Sus scrofa: one gene and its partner. The protein of the gene in region 1 purifies or fractionates together with the protein of each later gene. This does not show direct contact. Links are inferred from orthologs where the notes say so. Each region holds a gene or a part of one and is shown on either strand. Other genes may lie near its edges.

Region 1 (3,818 bases):
AACCCGCTCATGTTCATTAGTCAGGAGGTCAGCAATGGCAGAAAGAGCCTTTTCTTGACGCAGAGCTGAGCGGATGTATCGACCATACTACAAACAGCGCATGGAAAGGGGAAGAAGGGATTTCAAGTGGCAGGCAGCACACTAGTTAGCTAAGTCCTCCCATCTCCAAATTCATTTTGAAAATGTACTCACCGTCCAGCGCCCAGCACACAAGTTCTGGATGGCCCCGGCTGAGGCTTCTAGGATGGCAGGAGTCTTGCTCTCTTTGAGGAGTGAGATATATATCCGAACCACCTCTGGTTGAAATAAAAGTTCATAGCCTACACAAGAAAGGGCAAGAAAGCAGAGGATGCTTATCAGAACCTATCACCAAGGCTCAGGTCCAGCGTTAGTACTCTGGATTGACGGGTTTATGCTCCTATACCAGTGGACTCCCTACACACTTTCCCCTAGCCAACAGCAAACTTGGACTCCATGCCTTCTCAAGAATAATTCATCCTTGGCAAGAGCAGAACAGATATGTGCAACTCCTTCTCTCCTTCCTCCTAGCCTCTTCTCTCCCACAGTTTACTTTGGCTTTGCTTGGGATTCAAAGGATTCATTTACTCATCGATAGCACTGAGAGTTAAAGATTCCTCATCTCAAATGAATTATTTCTAACTTAACTGAAACATCCTGCCCACCTTAACTATGATTAAGTAAAAGAGCCACTTACAGATTTAACAATATCTAAGTTCCCGTTGTGGCTCAGCGATAACGAACCTGACTGGTATCCATGAGATTTAACAATATCTAAAGTTCTGTATCTATGGAGAGCTATGAATTTTGGATTCATCGTATTGATGAACATAAAGATCCAAGCTGTGACAAAGAGACTTCTTACAAAAGGTAAAGTGTAAGTCCCAACAAGGGCATGTAAGTTTCTGGTCTAGACTACAATTGGGACCTTATCCTCAAGTAATCTGAATAGCTGCCACAAGAAGACCTTTGAAATTTACTGCTCTAATTTTCAAAGGCTCCCTGGCCTCCCTTAGCGGGTTAAGGATCAGGGGCATTGCCATGAGTTGTGGTGCAGGTCACAGACTCGGCTCAGATCTGGACATTTTTGTGGATGTGGCATAGGCCAGTGGTACAGCTCCAGTTGGACCCCTACCTAGCCTGGGAACTTCCATATGCCAAAGGTTCAGCCCTTAAAAAAAAAAAGGTGAGAGAAAGAAAAAGAAAAGAAAGTTACTGTTCTAATACTAAAGTTTCCAAACACTTTCATCATTTCAAACCCTTCAAAGACGGAACAGTGAACATACTGTATAGCCTACTGTTAGGCTGCCAAATACTTATCTGTGGACTATGTTTATGAGACCCATGGAACCTGAAAAGAAAAAGAGAGCTTACCTCGAGCAGGACTAGTTCTTTTAGGGAAATCCACTGCATCATTTGCTGGATCCTCTGTGGGTTTTTTCCCTTTGGAAATTAAAAAGGGGGAAAGGGTAAAATGTTTAAGAAAGAGAAGAGTCTACCTGGTATCTTTTTTTACTCTTTAGTCAAAAACTTTGGATCAGAGATGCATCAAGAGGGGCAAAAAACAAAAAAGAAACAAAAAACCCAGGGTTACCAGCTTGTCCCAGCAGGGGGCTATGCAGAAACAAGAACAGAAAACAGGCAGCAAATGGGTAGACAAGGATAACCACGATTGTTGCTACTGTCCTGGGTTCTGACAACTGGGGCTGCTGCCCAGAAATAGCATGCTATGAGCCATTAGCTCAGAAGAGCTCAACTTGTTTCAATGGTCTTCCTCAACTGAATTTTCCTACATGCATCCACAGGGAAGGGTTAGGCAAGGAAATACCAGGGAAGCTAAAACTGAAACATGCAATTAGAAGTAGGTAAGCGCCTTAAAAGATTCCACTCACCTCTGGAGAACCACTCATCTTCCAGTGCATCACCCAAGGTGGAAAGCAGAGGAGAGAAATGAAGGAAGAAAAATGCGGGAGAGAGGTGTCAACAGGATCATGGGAAAATAAGCAGGAAAACAGAAAGGAAAAGAAAAACATAGGAAACACAAAGGAGGAATGGGGGAGAAGGCCCCAGATTAGTTGCGTTCTCAGCTTTCACTGCCCAATCACTTATACCACCACCACCACCACCACCACCACCATCGTCACCACCATGATGAAGCACACACGACACAGGGAAAGCAGCAGCAGAGCCAAAAGATACCCGTGACTAGGCAGATTCCTGCACTGCTGGGCAAGTATTTTATACCTAATGCTAAAAGGGTTCCTTCTTCTCCCCGTCCTACATTAAAGAGCAAGGAACAAGGAACCAAGACTCACCTTTGCCCTTCTTGGCCCCAAAGCAACTGGCAGCATGTGGCCCAGTATTGTTGGCAACATTGGGAGGTGCCTCTTGGTATCGTTCTGCCTGTGGGATTTCCCGGTGAACTTGATATGACAAGTTCCGAAGGAGGCAAACACAGTTCTCCACAAGCTTAGGATCAGAAGATACAAGGTGCGATAAGAGAAGAGAATGACTACAGTGATTTCCTAGCAAGTACAGTTTCCAGAATTCAGGTATTAAAATATTGATCTTCAAAAGCATAGCCCAATCCTCCTCTCTAACAATACCTCTTAAGTGCCCAAGGCTCCTCAAAATTCTTGTAGCCTCAGGCTAACAGAAGGTTTCTGCTACCATTTGGTGTGTAACACAAAACTCAGGTCACTCTGACTTTTTCCTAATTAGAAAAAAATTGGAAGTATCGCTAAACAGCTTTAAAATATACAGGTGCAGGAGTTCCGGTCATAGCTCAGCAGAAAAGAATCTGACTAGCATCCATGAGGACACAGGTTCTTCGATCCCTAGCCTCACTCTGTGGGTTAAGGATCTGGCATTGCCATGAGCTTTGGTGTAGGTCATACGAGGCTCAGACCCCATGTTGCTATGGCTGTGGTGTAGGCTGGCAGCCACAGCTCCAATTTGACCCCTAGCTTGGGAACCTCCATATGCCATGGGTGCGGCCCTAAAAAGAAAAATAAATAAACAAACAAACAGATAAATAAAATACACAGGTGCAGGAGTTCCCGATGTGGCTCAGCAGGTGAAGAACCTGAAATAGCATCCGTGAGGATGCAGGATCCATCCCTGGCCTCTCTGAGCGGGTTAATAATCCGGCATTGCTGCAAGCTACAACTCCAATTCAATCCCTAGCCCAGAACTTCCATATGCCACAGAGGCTGCTGTAAAAAGAAGAAGAAAAAAAAATAGATGCAGGACATTCTAAAAAACACATTTTTCTTCTAAGGTGAATACCCACTTTAAGGAGTAGAGACCAGTATCTGGTGTTACTTGAAAGCCTGAGGTGATAGGTCTGCATTATGAGTATCTCATGGTTATAGTACATGGAATTCACTCACCCACTAACCTACCTTGCTGTCTGAATCTTTCTGTCCAATCTCAGCCTGAACAATGAAAATGAGAGCGTCCACCAAACCATCACATTCCCGAAGTTTCCGGCGAGCTTCACTCCTCTCGGAGCTGACATTCCTGAGAAGAAAAAAAGAGAGGCTTCAAGATGACTAAAATCCAGAAAGCCTCTCCTAATATCCTTAACGTCTACACGCCTCCTTAACAGCTCCTCTTTTCACTGTGACAAATAATGAGTACCTGTTTAAGGAAGGCACTGGAATTGAGAGAAAGTTGAGCAAAATGGTTCCTGCTTTCAGGACCAGACACAAGGGAGTATACCGACAACAGTAATTTAAGACTGAATCGATCCATCTTTTATGGAAGTACAAACGAAGAATGGGGCAGAGCACAGAGGG
Region 2 (3,818 bases), on another chromosome or scaffold:
CTGGATCAATTAAAAGTTGCTTGGCCTGGCGTTCTTTATCTCGGCGCTTCATCCATACCACAAACATGAGAACAAGGACTAAGGCAGGAAAAGAGTAAAAAGGAATCCACAGTCATTTAAAACACTCGACCTATCTAATCACAGTCTTCCACTCTAATACTTTATACGTATATGGGTGGAAAACTTGTACCGCATTGTCCACTCTCTTATTTTTGGCCTCACATGACGAGAAACAAGACAAAGCAGAGGCCCAGAGCACTAGGGTTCGTGTCAAGAAATTGATACCCTGTGAACTCACTGAGTGGACATCTGTCCTCAGTTTTACCATCTACAAATGGGGACAATAACTATTTCTATCCTTTACTTTGTCTTGCTGGAGGATAGGCTCCGCTTAATATAATGGCTGGTAGATTCTAAAACAACAAACAGTAAGTAAAATCAGTACTTGTCATTGAATTGCTGTTTCATCCTGCTTGGGAGTCATCAATATATTCCCCAAATTAGAGAGAAGGGGTGCTTGTCAAGGAGGGGAAGTGCTTGCCAAGATGACTTTGACAGTGAACTACACCTGCAGCAGCAACCGGATCTTGAGCGTTTTTGACTCCCAAAGGCCTAGATCTTTCCACTGTGTCATTGTGCATTCCTTTTCATATTCAACTGCATGTTTCAGGTAAGGAGGCTATGGCATTAGTTCGAGCCCTGAAATAACATTAAGCTTTCATGCTTTACATTTTTGTCCTTCGACCATAAATTTTCCAGCAGGTGGATGTGAACATCAGGCCTGATTCATTTTCCTTCAGAACTGCTGGAGTCACTTCTTCACACCACAATCCATCAGATCTAAGTCTTTCTTGGTAAGGCTGGCACATATGCCACGTTTTAGTTGAAAGTGAAACATATCCCTAAGTGCACATCTAGGAATGCATTCTCTCTAAAATCTGGGGCTATCAGTTTACATCCTGAAGCAAAAGATTTAATGACTCCTATTTGAGCACATTTTTATTATTGGCCATAAAAGTAAATATCCTCCTTTTAAAGCCAGATACATGATCTCATTTACCATTGTTCTAGGGCTAAATCTAGCAAGTGGATTATTAGTATAGCATGCAGGTTTCAAATTATAGTCAAAGTAGTCTCCACACAGGAAGTAAAAAATGCTCAGGCTTCTATAGTAATTGCTTAGAAAAAAAAAAAAAAAAAAGGACAGGATTCTAAATTACCAGAACACTCGTAAATGGAGAAAACATAAAAGAAATGGCCAACATTTTTAAGAAAGTGATTGGTGCATAGCATGATCACACAATAAACTAAGTCCTGCTGCTATTCAACAATAAAACACAGGGTCCAGGCAATTTATTCTTTTAACCTGCGTGCTTAGAAGTGGTTCCTAGAGTACTTTCCAGTGGTTAATTTCTTGCATTCCATTGAACCAAAGACTGCAAAGTATCTAAAAAAGGAGCAATTCCTTAATCTGAACTTGTTCTAAAGACAGACAATTTACTGAGCTGTGTAATCATTCCTATTATCAAATGTGCTGTATGCAGTACCATCTCTTGCTATTTTATGCAGCCCTTTGGAAACAAATACCTTGATCCTTGCATGACTGGAGCAGGTTGCTGACTGTGCTTTATATGAAGGAAACTGAAGGAAAGCTATATACTTATTTTCCTAAATTATCAACTGTGTACCATAAATTCAGACTCAAATCATACGATAAGTGCCCAAACCTAGGACTGTCTAACATTTTTCTATGATAAGAGTCTGCTACAGTTCCTCAAGGGACTAGAATCAGGAAACAGCAGTAGGGCAGGGTAGGCTGGCTGGGTTTGCTGCAAACGTGGAAGGGCTTGAAAGGATGCTCAGGGTTTTTCTCCTTCTCCAGTAGACTTGGTTGCAAGAAAATGCCCAGAGGCTGAAGAGCATTGTTGGATTACATGGAAGGGCAACAATAAAAAGTTACTGGGCTAGGAGTTCCTGTTGTGGCTCAGCAGAAACGAATCTGACTAGCATCCATGAGTATGCAGGTTTGATCCCTGGCCTCGCTCAGTGGGTTAAGAATCAGGCATTACCGTGAGCTGTGGTGTAGGTCACAGACATGGCTCAGATCCTGCGTTGCTATGACTGTGACTGTGGCCAGTAGCTACAGCTCCAATTTGACTCCTGGCCTGGGAACCTCCATATGCCGTGGGTACGGCCCTAAAAAGCAGGGAAAAAAAAAAAAAAAGAGTTACCTGGCTTAACATCCCAGAAGCAAAGAGAATTAAACCCAAGAGACGATCAGTACTTACTGAGCAGAATGATGATGCAGAGCAGGATGGCAATGATGGCACCTGTGCCCAGCCCCGCCCCTACAATTCTATCCACATCTGTGCAGTCCCCGTTGGAGTCACACTGGCAAACCTTCACTCGAAGGATGGAAATATTTGATTTGGGAGGATTACCCGAATCCGTGATTATGATTGGAACTTCATAGATCCCGGCTTCAAGAAATTTTATCTTTAAATTAAGCTGAGCAAAATCACCTACACAAAAAAGGAAAAAATACAGTCTGATAGTTTATACACAGCCCATACATAATACAACTCCAACCCACAGACCATTTTCTAGGATGTATGCCTACCTAAGAGTATATATAAAGTAGATTTCAACTATCCTGCATTGTGGACTGTTTTTTTGGATTAAGGGGCTTTTGATATCTTATTTAAACTTTAAGTAGCTTTAAAAATATATTTAATGAGAGGACTATAAAGCCCTTAAAATTAATGTTTCACATCAGGCTTCAATGCCTCTCAACTGCACATACATTCAAATAATTAACCTGTTCTTACCATTAAGTCGAGTGATGGTCCAATTTCTCTTAATAGTCACTGGAGACAAAGGAAGATCAAAAGCAAATGGCCCAGCATTTGGATCAATGTCATAGTCAAGTGCTGTAATGTTAATTGAATTGGGGTCCGGAGTTTCACAAGTCTCCGCCTCCTGAGGTAACACTTGCGGGGCATTGTCGTTAATATCAAGTAAATAGATCTGCAGGGTTCCTGTTCCACTCATAGGAGGAATTCCTTGAAAAGGAGAAAAATCACAGACCGTTGCTAAACAGTACCCTCCCATGAGTTTCAATTATGGTGAAATCTCAAAGCTTCTAGACTTCTGGCCCCATCACTGCATAACTTTGGAAAAATCTAGTTGCCAGAGCCTCTATGCAGACTGTTTTTGGTACAAGGCCACTTCTTGCTTCTTTTCTACAACGTCTCTGCGTCACCCATGCTGAGTCCGGGGCACTGCTGTGGGCAATAACAATGCGCACACATGCAACCTGTCCCCCCCTTCCCCCCCAGTGGCCACCAAGTGTGACCAGTGCCTTCCCTGCCCTTTCAGTCCTTACATGCCCCTCCCATGCACACCAGCATCCCCTAGGCACTGGGGGTTGTAAGAGATGCAGAACACAAGGCTTACAATCTTATGGTCCCTACTCTGATAGAGAACCAAGACGTGCTCATGAAAGAACCTGGGAATACTTTTCCAGCTCAGACACAACTCTGAAATATTGAAACAGGCTACAGACAAGTTCTGCAGACCCACAGACCTCATCTTGGGAAGAAAGGCCATAGAGAATAGATATGGTATTTACTGATCAATCAATTGCATCCTTGAGAAAGTATCATGCTGCTCTATACTTTATTTCATTGTCATCCTAGGAAGCAGGTTTAAATAGACAGGAACCCAAGTGTCTGTAAATGGTCACTGTCATATCCTCTTAGAAGTGGTGGCATTGCTAGTGAAGACTGGTTCTGCCTGACTCCAAACCCCTTATCATT

The links.
Region 2: the proteins of CTNND1 (region 1) and CDH2 purify together in Homo sapiens (affinity purification with western blotting; 6 studies listed by BioGRID and IntAct, with this or other methods). This does not show direct contact. The link is inferred for Sus scrofa from reciprocal best matches to the Homo sapiens genes CTNND1 and CDH2.

What each region holds. Positions count from the first base shown.
Region 1 is NC_010444.4:13,167,715-13,171,532, forward strand, and holds part of CTNND1 (catenin delta-1), read right to left. Parts: intron 3,541-3,818; coding exon 3,423-3,540; intron 2,488-3,422; coding exon 2,334-2,487; intron 1,929-2,333; coding exon 1,911-1,928; intron 1,462-1,910; coding exon 1,393-1,461; intron 321-1,392; coding exon 193-320; intron 88-192; coding exon 1-87. UniProt on the Homo sapiens protein: Key regulator of cell-cell adhesion that associates with and regulates the cell adhesion properties of both C-, E- and N-cadherins, being critical for their surface stability.
Region 2 is NC_010448.4:112,429,950-112,433,767, forward strand, and holds part of CDH2 (cadherin-2), read right to left. Parts: intron 3,063-3,818; coding exon 2,829-3,062; intron 2,523-2,828; coding exon 2,289-2,522; intron 79-2,288; coding exon 1-78. UniProt on the Homo sapiens protein: Calcium-dependent cell adhesion protein; preferentially mediates homotypic cell-cell adhesion by dimerization with a CDH2 chain from another cell. Cadherins may thus contribute to the sorting of heterogeneous cell types.